Linked DNA regions of Macaca fascicularis. The protein of the gene in region 3 purifies or fractionates together with the protein of the main gene of each other region. This does not show direct contact. Links are inferred from orthologs where the notes say so. Each region holds a gene or a part of one and is shown on either strand. Other genes may lie near its edges.

What was found.
Region 1: the proteins of FBXL5 (region 3) and MMS19 purify together in Homo sapiens (affinity purification with mass spectrometry; 4 studies listed by BioGRID and IntAct, counting the BioPlex papers as one, with this or other methods). This does not show direct contact. The link is inferred for Macaca fascicularis from reciprocal best matches to the Homo sapiens genes FBXL5 and MMS19.
Region 2: the proteins of FBXL5 (region 3) and ACO1 purify together in Homo sapiens (affinity purification with western blotting; 3 studies listed by BioGRID, with this or other methods). This does not show direct contact. The link is inferred for Macaca fascicularis from reciprocal best matches to the Homo sapiens genes FBXL5 and ACO1.

Annotation. Positions count from the first base shown.
Region 1 is NC_088383.1:106,448,272-106,452,993, forward strand, and holds the start of MMS19 (MMS19 nucleotide excision repair protein homolog), read right to left. Parts: upstream 3,146-4,722; 5' UTR 3,117-3,145; coding exon 3,005-3,116; intron 1-3,004. Other genes in the region: UBTD1 (ubiquitin domain-containing protein 1), read left to right, coding at 3,949-4,018. UniProt on the Homo sapiens protein: Key component of the cytosolic iron-sulfur protein assembly (CIA) complex, a multiprotein complex that mediates the incorporation of iron-sulfur cluster into apoproteins specifically involved in DNA metabolism and genomic integrity.
Region 2 is NC_088389.1:66,706,657-66,711,454, forward strand, and holds the start of ACO1 (cytoplasmic aconitate hydratase), read right to left. Parts: upstream 3,146-4,798; 5' UTR 3,061-3,145; intron 1-3,060. UniProt on the Homo sapiens protein: Bifunctional iron sensor that switches between 2 activities depending on iron availability. Iron deprivation, promotes its mRNA binding activity through which it regulates the expression of genes involved in iron uptake, sequestration and utilization.
Region 3 is NC_088379.1:14,799,551-14,804,096, reverse strand, and holds the start of FBXL5 (F-box/LRR-repeat protein 5), read left to right. Parts: upstream 1-1,588; 5' UTR 1,589-1,658; coding exon 1,659-1,742; intron 1,743-4,546.

The DNA.
Region 1 (4,722 bases), on a different chromosome or scaffold from region 3:
GTATTTTTTTTAGTAGAGACGGGGTTTCACCGTGTTAGCCAGGATGGTCTCGATCTCCTGACCTCGTGATCCGCCCGCCTTGGCCTCCCAGAGTGGTGGGATTACAGGCTTGAGCCACCGCGCCCGGCCTGATCTACAACAACTCTTAGCACATGTAATAGGTCATTCAAATCCCTCTGCCTGGAATCCAAAGTTATGCAGAATCCAACCCCACCAAACCTTTTCAACTTTTATCTGTTACTGTTCCTCTGTATCAACTTTCTTTTCTTTTCTTTTTTTGTTTTTTTTTTGGTTTTTTTTGAGACGGAGTCTCACGCTGTTGCCCAGGCTGGAGTGCAGTGGCGCGATCTCGGCTCACTGCAAGCTCCGCCTCCCGGGTTCCCGCCATTCTCCTGCCTCAGCCTCCTGAGTAGCTGGGACTACAGGCGCCCGCCACCGCGCCCGGCTAATTTTTTGTATTTTTAGTAGAGACGGGGTTTCATTGTGGTCTCGATCTCCTGACCTTGTGATCCGCCCGCCTCGGCCTCCCAAAGTGCTGGGATTACAGGCTTGAGCCACTGCGCCCGGCCTCTTTTCTTTTTTTGAGACGGAAGTCTTGCTCTGTCGCCCAGGCTGGAGTACAGGGGCGTGATTTCTGCTCACTGCAGCCTCCACCTCCCAGGCTCAAGCGATTCTCCAGCCTCAGCCTCCTGAGTAGCTGGGATTACAGGCATGCACCACCACGCCTGGCTAATTTTTGCATTTTCGGTAGAGACGGGGTTTCACCATGTTGGCCAGGCTGGTCTCAAACTCCTGGGCTCAAGCGATCTGCCTACTTTGGCCTCTCGAAGTGTTGGCATTACAGGCATGAGCCACCGTGCCCAGCACCAACTTTCTTAAGAGGGCTAAATTACAACAGGGTTAGTGTTACAGTCTTAGATCAGCTGAGTTGAATTCAAACTAAACAGTTTAGACCATTTTTTCCGGAAAGAAACAAAAATATAAATTTTGCAAAAACATTTGTAAGAATTAAGCAGTCCCAGTGGCTCATGCCTGTGATTCCAGCACTTCGGGAGGCTGAGATGGGAGGATGGCTTCAGTCCTGGAGTTAGAGACCAAGCTATGCAACATGGTGAAACCTTGTCACTACAATACAAAAATTAGCCGAGCGCAGTGGCACAAGCCCTGTTGTCCCAGCTACTCCGGGAGGCTGAGGCAGGAGGATTGCTTGAGCATAGGTCGAGGCTACAGTGAGCCATGATTTCAACATTGCACTCCAGCCTGGCAGACAGAGCGGGACCTTGTCTCAAAAAAAAAAAAAAAAAAAAGAGAAGAATTTAGAAGTCCTTATTCAAGATAAGACATTCAAGATATTTTTTCAAAATATGTTCTGAATCCAAAAAATCAGTAATTATTGTTTTCATATTGCATAAATGTGAAAGACTCATCACAAATGACACTGATATAGTAATGTTCTGTATCTTGGTAGGGGGTTGGATTGTATAGGTATATGCATTAGTCAAAATCAGTGAATGTACACTTAAAGATTTATATATTTCATTGAATATACATTTTACACCAAAATAAACCGTCAACAAACTCTAGTCAATGATATCCATGCCAAAGTATTTAAAGGAAAGTGTACAGGTATCTGCAATTTAAATAGATGGATAGCTGTATGATAAAGCAGATCCTAAGTGATGTATTCCTTATAAAATTCTTTATACTTGGCTGGATATTTGAAAATTTTCATAATAAAACATGAGGGAAAACGACATTATTAAGACACTGTACTTGTAAATTGTAAACACTGATAACACACTACATTTCATAAAATTGTAAGATGTTGTTTGGTGGCAGCACCAGGTATTTGCTCCTTGATGCTTCCAAATTACCCTGCACATCCCTCTTATAGAATAGTTGCCTCTCCCAGCATACTATAAGTTTCCGGTGGGCACAGATCTAACCTAATTTGTATTTATATTCCTTAGGCTTTGCATCATGTTTGGGAAATAATATGTGTTCAACAATAGTGGCATGACTGAATCAAAGTGGAATACTGCTAACGAACAAAGTATTTTATTTCCAGCAGATTCACTATTCTTTTCTTACACATTCTAAAGGTTAATACGCTCAGTTTGCAAGAGAAATGTGTCCTTACTTCTCTCCAAGCATGCGAAATTTCCAAAATTTTTTAAACTACCCATTAGACAATTTTATATTGTTACTTAAACCCAAGATCTGAAGCCTTCCTAACATTCAATAACTTTTTAGTAGATTTTTTTTTCCTAGAAGAGCAAAGTCTCAGAACTCCACGGAAGCCTGGAAATTGTTTTATTCTAATTTTAGATAAGCTGTCTGAACTAAGAGATCTCTGAACTTGTCAAAAGCAGGCAAAGTGGGGGTCTGGGAAGAAGATAAAAACAAACGCCACATAAAACGTCATGGAGCAAACTAATCAAGAACTTTGGCAAGAAACGGAGAGAAAGTCTTAAGGAGGACACCCAGAACATCTCCAGCTCCTCCTGGCCCGACTCCTCGCCTCCTCTTAATTCCAGCCAGTCAGAGCGCGGGGCCATCCGCCACTCCCAGGATGCCACGCGACGGGAGCGGACGCTGCGAGGATGCACCTCCACACGTCAACCTCCCACAAACAGCGTGGCTTCGTGGCTTGAGCACCCGGTTCGGACGTGAACGCCTGGGTCCGAGTCCCAGCTCCCCCTCCTGCCTTGTCTGCAGCCCTGCGCAAGTCCTCTTGCCCTCGCTGAGCCTCAGTTTCCTCATCTGTAAAATGTAATAATTCCCTATAATTGGCTATAGGGAGATGAAAAGTGTAAATGGTTTTAAGGAAGACACAGGCAACTCTCCAACTTGTTACGGCTCTGAAGCTCGCGGTGCTCACTAACCAGCCTTGAGACCAATCTCTCAAAGTCACCCGCTCCTCCTTTCCCGCCCGGCGCCTGTACCGAGGCCGCTCCCTCCTGTTGGCCCCCATGCGGAAGGCGCGCGGCGCCGTCTGCCGTACCTGCAGCCACCTGGTCAGCGGGGCCCTCTTGTTGACCCATGACGAAGTCGTGCACGAGGCCCCATAGGGCGCCCGTAGGCGCCGCCGCCTCCAGAGCCGCGGCGGCGGCCATGACGCGAACAAGAGACCGTGGGAGGGGATATGGGCGGTGGCAAGAGACGGGCCTCTCCGCGCATGCGCCTCCCGAGGCAATCGCGGGGAGAAGGCCAAGGGGGCGGGGCGCACCGGGTCACGTGCCTACCGGCTTCTAGCCAGGCAGTTCCATGGAGGGGCGGGGCCTGGAATGGGGCGGCGGCACCGAGAGGGAAGGCGGCTGCTGGGCACGCAGCCGGAGGCCATTGAGGGCGAATAATTCCCGGCCCGGCTCCCCGGGAGACGGGCGGCGGGGCGGGCACCTGGCTGGGTGGGGAGAGGGGCGGTACGCACCACGGGGGAAGCCAATGAGAAAATCAGGCCCAGCCCGAGGGGGCGGTGCTGTCGGTCACATGCGCACCTGGGGCGGGTGGTGGCGGCGGCGCGGGCACCGCGAGCCGGCGGTGGGGAGCGGGGCCGGCCTGGGGCGGGGTTAGGCAGGTGAGTGACAGGCTCCAGGGGGCCGGCCCCTGCCTGGAGCCCCGAGCGACCGGGAGTAGCTGCGGCGGTGCCCGCCCCCTCTCTCCGCCCCTCCAGCGGAGCTGGTCTCCGGCCGGGCACCGTCGCGGGCCCCCCTGGCCCGGCCACCTGGGACTGTGCTAGGGAGTCTGCCACCTCCCTCTCTCCCCTGGCCCGCAAAGTTTTGCCGGAGCCAGCGCCGGGGCTGAGCGCGCCCCCGGGGGGAGATCGGGGAGCGCCAGATGCCGGGCGGCCGGAGCCGTTGACCCGGGACGCCGCCGTCCGGGGCAGGAGCGCGGAGCAGCCGACCACCTCGCCGCCTCCGGTGCATGGGGACTGGCTGAGGAGCCAGCATGGGCAACTGCGTGGGGAGACAGCGGCGGGAGAGGCCGGCAGCCCCGGGACACCCCCGCAAGCGAGCAGGTAACGACGGGGAAGGGAGCAGGGCCTCGGGCACCCCGCCAGTTGTCCCCCTCCTCGCCCGAGCTCTAGGCTTACCGATAGACTCCCCACTGGTGCTGGCGCTTGGGTTTCCCCGATAGCCTGCTCCGCAACCAGACGGGGCCGCTCCCCAGCGCCGGGCGAGCTGAGTTGGGGCAACTGCGAGCACTGAGCCGGCTGCGCGACCAACTCTCTCCAACTGGGAAGCTCCTGGTGGGGGTGGGGGCAGGAAATGTTTGCAGACCGCAGCGGGGCCGACGGATTGCGGGGAGGGCCCGGGGCGAGGGCGCCGCTGGCCTGGCAGCTCCGGCCGGGGTCGGACACCGGCCCGTCGGGGCACGGCGCGGGCAGCCAGGCGTCCCCAGAACTTGGAGCGAGCGGGGCGAGAACAGTCGCTCCTTCCAAAGACTGTGTCATTATCGGGCTGCAGATCGTGTCTGCCGGAATCCGACTTGCAAAGCAGCGCAGGACTCTGGGAAAGAAATCTTTATTTTTCCCGCAGGGGTTTTTAGAGCCTCTCGGTCGTCTGGGAGTCTATAAAAGATGGGGTGCGGGGTGAGAGTCACCCTCGGAATTGTTGGGATCCTTCCTAGCTGTGGGAGTGAGATCGCTCGCTGGTGATTCTCGAGGCCGGTTTCTCAACGCTTTCTCACTTTCATGGTACACCCCGCTTGCCCTGGCATTTC
Region 2 (4,798 bases), on a different chromosome or scaffold from region 3:
GCAAACTAAGGTCAGCACTTGTTTTTGTAAATCAAGTTTGATTGGAACACAGCCATGCTCGTTTGTTTGCATATTGTCTATTGCTGCTTTCATGCTTCAACAGCAGAGCTGAGTAGCTGCAATAGAAACTGTATAACCATAACCCAAAAAGCCTAAAATGTTTCACTACCTGTCCCTTTACACAAAAAGGTTGCTGATCTATATTTTAGAATATGATGAAAACATATTTTTTTCTTATCAAAAATTTTAGAGGACTTGAATCATACACCCTATATCTAGGATCTTGTCTAGGCTAAAGAGTCTGTTTTCTACTAAGAAAACAAACCAAAAGCACCTTAGCTCAGACAATAGCAGTGTCAGCTGGCAAAGGTTTAACAACTTGAATTCCAGGAGGAAAAAAAAACTCTGATGTAGTATTTGCTGATTTCCATGGTGTAATTATTCCCACCATGGCTTATTTCAATCTAAAAAAAGGTGTTGCCACTGAACACGGAATTAGGAAGAGATATGCACAAACGCTAGTATGCCTTGGGACACTTACTATCAATGGCCTAACTCCTCATTTTAAAGTCAAAGACATTGAGACCCAGAGAAGGTGTCTTAACCCGAGGCTGGCCCAGTGACTGGCACCAGGTTGGAGGTAATTTCCCTGTGAGTCTGGCTGCCTCCCAGGAAATTACTTCCTACGTAGAAGGAAGAGTGGGGGAAAGAAGGAAAAGGAAGTTCTTTGCCAGGTACCTGGTGATACGCGTTGGTTTTTATCATCATCTTCACAGTGTGGGACTCTGGTTTCTTCAGCACATGCCTCTGAGGCACACTTTAGGTAGGGGGTACTGCTCTTCACACAGGACCAGCTTTCATGTACACTCTGACAACAGACTATCTCAATTAACCAGCAGTTATCTAAGCTATCAGACCATAATTGCCAGAAAGACAGGGACTGCATCTTTTGTGCTCACTACTTTCCTGGCATCCCGCACGTAACTGGACACATGAGAAAGAGGTGGCCAATAAAAATCTACTGAAAGAATGAAGGAATGAGACCCCATCACCAAAGTGGAATTTTTTAATACAAAGAACACAGCAGGTGCTCAGAGTTTAGATCCCATTTCCTTCTCCTGTGGACTTCTCCTTCTCACCTGTGGACTGTGCAACACACACAACATGCTCATGTGCATGCAACACTTCTCAAGTATCGGCCGTAGCATTTAAACTAATCCATCAGAGCACAAGAGGCTCTATGGATGAAGGAACAAAAGGGAGGATGGAGTCAGAAAATTTCTTCATCCCATATATATACACGTAACATCTGTCTTGAACTTGTTCTGACAAGGCACAAAGCTAAGGAAAGAGTCCCATGAAGGACCTCACCTACCACACTGCAGGATGGTGGAAATTGCTTTTTGACAGGGGCTGAGGAAGCATCACTCAGAGTGATACACCTCTGAAAGTGGAAAGTGAAAGAACATCAAGACTGGGAATCATTATTCCAATAAACTCAAGGCTAATAACCATGCAACTGCAAACAGCAATGAACACGTGCAAGGGAAGGCAAAAGCATGCCTCCCTGTTCTTTGGGAAATAACTTCCTGACTACTTGGTAACTATCACACGAACCCCTACACACTTGGCACGGTCTTCCCATTGGTACTTTTCTGAGCCCACATGTCCTGTTTGCCACATCACTGTTGTAATCCTGATGAACAGACAGGTCAGTTCTGCAGGCACAGAAACAACCAAAGGCATGTGTGAAACCGTGCTGACTTTTCAGGAGGCTGGCAAGGTTCATCACAGCCTCACAGGGGACCTAGTACATGGTTTCCAAAGTGAGATCCAACTTGGTTCCAGATACCAGAAGTTAACACTGTCCATGGCATGGGGTGGTGAGTGTTCCCATTCAGAGGAAGGATCACAAACAAGAAGCAGGCCCAATGAATGAAGCCTCTGAAGCATCCTCAAAGTGTGGTGCAGAGAACTCCTAGGGATCTCCAAGGTCAAAAACCACTTTCATAGTAATAAAACGTTACTCGCTTTTTTTCACTCACGCATTTTCAGGAGTATACAATGGAGGTCTCAAGAGGCTACATGATATGCGATACTGCAACAGACTGCAGAAGCAGCTATCGAAATCCAGCTGTCTTCAATTATGCTTGACATCAAAGAGATTTGCAAAAATGTAAAACAATGCCATTCTTCTCAATAATTTTCTGTTTTGGAAAATATAGTTCTTTTTCACAAAAATAGGCAATATTAAGATATAATTAGCTCATTATTCTTTTTAAATGAATTATTAAATATAGTAGAAATTTCTGTCTTACACATTATAAATATGGATAGATATAACTCACATAAAAGCTCCTTAAGATACTAATTTTTAAGAGTGTAAAGGGGTACTGAGTCCCAAAAAAGTTTGGGGACTTCTGTCCTAGAGGTTGTCCCCCAGGGAAGAGAATTGTGTGTGTTGCAAGAAGGAAGATGCCATTACGATGTGCTAGCTAAACGTGGAAAAAAATGACTTGGTCATAACTGCAGCCCAAGCTCCTTTCTGGATCTCTGAATCTATCAGGGTGGGCTCTGTGTTCAAGCCTCCCACGTAAGGGTCTCTTCCCCCTCATCCCATTTTCCCTTTACCCCTTGGAGTGCATTCCCGGATCTGCCCGCACAACTTTAGCAAGCGTTTCCCTACCCAGCTAGCCGGGCCTGGGCGATGACTCCCAGTGCGGGCCTCACGGCCTCGGGGTTAGGACTCCCAGGATCGGCCGCACACCCTAGACAAGGACTTTCAGGACAGCACGCACAGCCAAGGCTAAGAGGGTCTAGGAAAGCCATTTCCAATCCCTGGTCCCTCTCTTCGGCATGGCATAGACTGGGGACTGGGGGGGACGTCAGTCGCCAGAAACACGTCCCCGATTCTCCTCTCAGCCTCCACAAGCTCGCCTCCGAGTCCCCCGGGCCGCACTGCCTCAGGCACCTCGGTAAAGGCCCGCACCGACTCCCGAAGGATACAGGGTGGACGGCGCTCCCGCCTGGGGACGTGGGCCGGGCAACGTCGGTACTCACCTCCGACTGCACGGTGGGGCTCCCGCGACCGGCGCACCAGACCCAAGGAGCGGGACGCGTCCCCGTGCGCTGCGCGGTTTCAGCTGCCGCCTCCACGCTCCGCCCCCTCTCGCCCCCGGGGCCGCCGCGCGATGGGCGGAGCAGGGGCGGGACTGGCGGGCAGCGAGCCGAGGAAGGGGCGGAGCCTGCGGGCGCCCTCGCGGGCCCGGAGGACTTCGCCCGGGGCAGGAGTCGAGGGTTGCGAAAGGCTCCTCCGTAGGATGTGGGAGAGCTGATCCCTCCGCCCGGTCCGCTTCTGCCAGCCTGAGTCCTGGGACGAGGGTGTCTTGCTCACTTTGGGGCTTAGCATTCCTAACGTCCAGCCGGCGTTAGGAAGTGACCAAAGGGTAGGGAAGAAATGGAATTATTTAAAAAACATGATTTGGCCATAACTGCAGAGGTTTCATGTACTGCAGAGGTTTCATGCAAAGGTTTCATGTACGTGTGGTCACTTCGTCCGCCTCCCTTCTCACTTTGTCCCTACCCACCCTCTCCAACCTCGCCTTAATTCTTTGCGCAAAGCCTGCCAAGTGGGCATCGGAGTCACGCTGTCAGAGTAGGACTTCAGCATTTCCGTGGCAAAAGTTCTATGTGTAGATTTCCTTGGACATGTCACAACACTTTCTAATACACGATGTTCCCCGATCTGAAGTCAGAAAAATGGCTGGGAGATGGCACTAGGTGGACTTTCACAAGACCTGCTTTTCATGTTGGTTGGAGTTTTGCCCTTTTGGGTGAATGTGCGTTCAAAGAAGTGATTAGATCTTTCTAGATAAAAGGTGGTGAGTTTTTCCCGCCCAAATTATTTGGAAAGTTACTGTAGTTTTCCGAATAAGCAGCTTATAGGATGAGTAAACAATAGCCAGTACTAATAGCCCCCTGCTACCTTATACTGCCCTTCTACTCTGCACAAAGCCCTGTGATGGACTCTTTCCACGTTACTCAGTTCAGCTCTTCCAACCACCCTACAGGTAAAGAATATTACCCGTCTTTGCAGGTGTGCAATGTGCAACAGCTGAGACTCAGTCCGTAGGTTGATTTGACGCCAAAGCCTACACCTTCCCTGTCATGCTGCACTATAGGGTACATCTATCATCTAGTTATATTTAACTTTGAAATATAAATACTTATATTTATTTTGAAAGAGGAAGTAACTGTATTTCCAATATGAGAGGAGACTTTCTTCCCACCCACTTCCTAAATCCTTTCCATTCACATTAGTAATTAAATTTTCTTTGAGTCTCCACCATATGGCAGAGGTGCACCACAATCTCTGCAAAATCGTGCTCCATTCTCCTTCGGAGGTAGGGAGAGTAGGGCAAGGTGAGAGCGAGTAGAAGGCTGGGGAAGTCCGATGAGGACACATCCAGCTAGATTTCAATTCTTAATGAGGCAGCCATTCGGAAAGCGAAGTATCTAATGTTCAATGATAGCATCCGTGTAACTGAGAATCCTTTGCAGTAAATAATCAAATCAGAGCTATGAAGGGAATTGAGATTTATTAGTAAGCATGCTGGCCAAAACCGTGAAGGAAATAGTTCCACATTCCCCCAGTCTGTTGTTCTTGGACGTTGTCACCAGTGACATGCAGATCGTGAATCCCAGGGCCTGTCCTCAGTTCCTGTCCTTACTCACTGCTCTGTGGTATTTGACACGGGCGATTCGTTTTCCTTGAAATGTTAACCTCCTTTTGGCTTTT
Region 3 (4,546 bases):
TTTATATGACCAGATTTTTCACTTACTAATTTCTGGGACCCTAGGCAATTACTAGAATGTCTTGAAGACCTAATTTCCTGCAGCACTACCTCATAGAGTTGCTTTTAAAAAGTATTGATAGCTTACAGACGGTACTATTATAAGTGCTTCAAATATATAAACTCAATCCTCATAAAGATTCTGAGGTAGGTATTACTAGCCTCATTTCATGTAAGAACAAACTGAGGCACAAAGAGGTCATATAGCTTGTTAACGGTTGTATAGCTAGTGTCTGGCAAAACCAGAAATCTTAACTTCATTTCCAGAGTCTGTGGTTTAACCACTGTTTACACTGACTGTCTATAATAGCATATAGTAAGATAAGATTAGAACTAAATAGGGTGCATTCCACTGCAAAGTTCTTTCTCACCTCCTTCTACTCCATTATTTGTTGAATATTTACTGATCCCCATGTTGTCTTGCAACTGTGATAGATAATAGAGAACAAGGGTGAACACAGCATATCTGGTTCTTGCTCTCCTGGAGGTTCTGGCCATTAAGCAAATAACAATTCCTCTCAAGGTTCTCAGGCTTCCCTGTTTTCTCCTGTTTCCCTGTCTGCCCAGCAGTACTCCAGCCAACCAATCTAAGACTGACAAGCGTCAGCAGAGAACAGGGTCTCCAGGAGGTCTGTGGCGAGGGCCAGGCTATTTATGGGGAAGAGACAGACATTTCCCTGGTTTAGTGATCTTGTTTTCTCTCCGAACCTCCGCTTAAAATGGCGGGATTTGTACCAAGGTTCTTTACCGCACTAACCTTCCGTTATTCACCCTTCTTCCCACCCCCAAGGCCCGTCGGGCCTATCCCTGACCCGCGTTCCAGCACTTGAGGTGCATTTCGGCACCTGGATCCCTAGATACTGTTTTTCCCCGCGTTGAGACTTCCGAATTCCACCAGGTCTCTCTCTCGCGGTCTCTGTCCCGCCCCTCGCACCCAGGCCCCGCGCCCGCGGTGGGCTGCCGCCCGGGACCGAAGCTCTCAGAGCCCGCAGCCCTGGTTCACCAACCGCTGGGCGGGAGCCAGGCCCGACCTTTGACTGGCGGGCGGGGTGGTCTGCACTTGGCCCCAGAAAAAGTCTGGCACGGGCCAATCGCAGGGAGGCAAAGGGTAGCTCTGGAGGTCCCGGCCAGACGCATTGGTCACCCAGGCCAAGCAGGCGTCGGGGCCTGGGCACAGGCAGAGCTCGCGGCCCCGACTGCGGCCATTGTGCTTGGCTGCCTCTCCTCAACGCCTGGTGGGCTGGGCAGAAATGGGAGAAGCGCCGAGAGCGCCACTGAAACGACTTTCCCCTACTCTCAGATACTGTGCTTTCATCTAGTGAAAGAGACAGGGTAAAGGTTTGGGTTCTTTCTGCTGCATAGGAAGAGGACAAGAAACGAAAAGAGTGGGGGCGGGAGGCAGAAGCCGCGAGCCTCTGCGCGCGCCCGGTCACGTGGGCCGCAGGGACCGCATGGCGGCGGCCTGCGCGCCCCCGCGTTCCTGCCGGCCAGGCTGACCGGGCGCGCGCGCCGACGGGGCGGGCGCATGCGCAAGGGGGCGCGCCGCCTCTGCCCCGCGGCGAGGGTGTCTATGGAGAGGCGGCGGCCGCGGCTGCTGAGGCGGAGGCTGAGGCAGTGGCGATGGCGCCCTTCCCTGAAGAAGTGGACGTCTTCACCGCCCCACACTGGCGGATGAAGCAGCTGGTGGGGCTCTACTGCGACAAGGTAACGGAGCGCCAAGCCTCCTGCTGTGGGCGGTGCGGGCGGCGATGGGGAGCTGGCTGGGTTACTGGGGCGGCCTGGCCTGTGCCGCGCCCGCAGCCCCGTGCCGTCGCCGCGCGAGTAGCCGCCTGCGCAGCTGTCAGCGCTGCCGGTTCCCGCAGCCTCCCCGCCCGCTGCGGGGCCCTCGCAGAGCCGGCCTCCCCGCCTGGCCGCCGCCTCGGACGTGCTCTCGGGGCGGGCGGCGTCCCCTGCCGAGGGCCTGGCGCCTGAGGAGGGGCGCTGCCGGGGTCACTGGCCGCCCTCGCGCCGGCCCCACCGCCGCCCTGGGCCTCCCGCTGCTGCCTCTAAGGAGAGCGGCCCTACCTCCCCGAAGCCCTGGGTGCCCCGGCCGGCCACCTGCGGTGGACTCCCATCCGCACCGAGCAGTTGTTCCCGTTCTCCGTCACTCCCCCGGGCCTGTTCGGGGCTCTCCGTGCAGACACCCACCCATCCTCTGAACCTCTCGCTGGCTTCCTGGCTGGAACTGCGGCGTCTCCCAGCTACCGGGTTCCTTTTACCCCCAGCTTTTTTCACTGGTTTGATTTGGGGGAAAAGCCAAGTTTAGAACTGAAGAACCTTCACTCTTCATATGTCGTTATCGTTTTCTTTGCAACTTTTATTGCCTTGACCACTTACTAGATGTAGATTTTGTTATAAGACAGCAATTCTTGGAATTCTTTACATAAGCTCGAATAAAGGGGGCCTCGGGAAAAGTTGGTTTAACTGTGAGAACCATTTTGGGCTCATAATTGGTGCAGCATAAGCTGAAGAGGCACTTTTGTGGAGATGATTCAGGGCCCTTTGCTAATGATTTTAAAACAATATTTAACATTCCACATATTTGTCAGTTTATGTTGGGAAAAGTCACATGGATATCTGCAAACCTCAGGCAGTCCCGTTTCTTGTGGAAATGATCCAACTACATAAAGCATTCAAATGACTACTGTTTAAGCATAGAAATCAACTTTTAGGAATTCTCAGAAATTGCATAGCATTATGCAGAACCATTGTCTACAGAAAAGAGGGGTGTTTCATAGTTAAGCCAGGCGATTGGAGAATGCCCAGGGTGTTCACTGCTAGGCCACACTCAAGACCAGCAATTTAAAGCAGTGACGTTGAATTTCAAATCTTAGCACTCCATCTTCTCCCTCCCTCCATTCTGAAAATTTAGAAATACCCAGTTCACACGTAGTTGGAAACACCAGGACTGTCTAGGACAGTGGTTTGCAACCTCGGATGCTTATTAGCCTTAACCTAAAAACTATTAGAAATCCTGATGTTTATGTGACTAAAATTAGGATTTCACCCAGACATCAGTTATAGATGATTAAAGCTCTCCAGTTGAGTGCAGTATGCAGCTGAGGGTGAGAACCACTTATCTAGGAGAAGCATGAGGAATGGTTAAGCCATTAATGGAAAGGGTATATCCCTGAATTTTTTAGTTAGCAGTATTGTTGTGTTTTTATCCTCTCTGGCTTTTGAATTTGGTTCATTCAGACAACATTCTTTAATAGCAGGAAAGAAAAAAATTGGTCTCAAAAATCGAAAGTGGAAGTTGAGACTAACAGAATCCAAGTTTTCTCTCCAGTTTAAACTGTGGAGAGGTAGCCTACGATCAACTGAAATTATATGGAGAATTTTGTGCATGTGCCCATTTTCCTAGGGGGTTTGTAGCTTTCATCGATTTCCAGATGATTGTGACCTCCCAAAATAATCACAATTTAATTTACTTGCAGACTACGCTCACCAGCCTTATTTTAAAATTTTCAACAAGTTAGTCACTCTTTTTCTGTGTCTCTTCCTGGTGGTTGAGAATATTTGAACAAATTTTGAAAATGCAGTTGCTTTTTTACAAAATATCTGAGTCAAGTAAGATTCTTTTCAGTAATGTTCCTATTTGCATAACTAGTTTAATAAAGCATTTTCAATTTGACATAGTGTAAGTCAAAATTATTACTAATTCTGAATTAATTAGATATAGTTAATGAGATTGTTGTATATGTTTATGAAGAAGATTAAAAGTCCAATTTTCTGAACTGAGACCGAGGAGATTTAGGGAAAAAAAAAACTGCATAGGAATTTTACATCCAGATTTCTTCTTGATAATGATAGCCAATGGAAATCTCTCTTAGGATGTCCTTTGGGAGCTAGAGTGGAAAATAATTATTTTGTAATGGCTCAGTAATCTTAAAGGAATTAAAGGAAGAGTACCTTGTTTGTTTTTATTCATTTATCATCTCACGTTTTGCCATTATCCTTTGGTTGTATAGACCAAGGATATCCCATTGAACACAGTTTACAATAAAACTATACAAAATGAGAACTAGTTTTTATGCTCAAACTAAAAAGGTACAAAATAGTTATTTCACTGTACTGTAGTCCAAATTTGGGCTCTGAATGCCCAGTTATTATAAAGAAGTCAGTTACTATTTTCAATACTGAACTTCTCAAGTACAATGTATTTTAGAAGCATCCATTTATTTGCTAGCATCAAGTAAACCACTTATATGCTTAAACTAGTTAGTATAATGTGTTCCAAAGTTATCTTAGTCTACTTATTTTTTAGGTAGAAAGTTGAATAGGATGAGAAAATAAAACAAATTTTCAAAAGCTGACAGATGTATGTCTTAGACCATTTTAAATATTGCTGTCTAATACCTGATTTAATACTTTGCCCATAGATTTCTTTTTACATTTGTAAAAAGTTTTATGGAAAGGATTTTCACCTTTGTTATCCAGACAACAGTGCTTTGAGTTATGTAAAGACA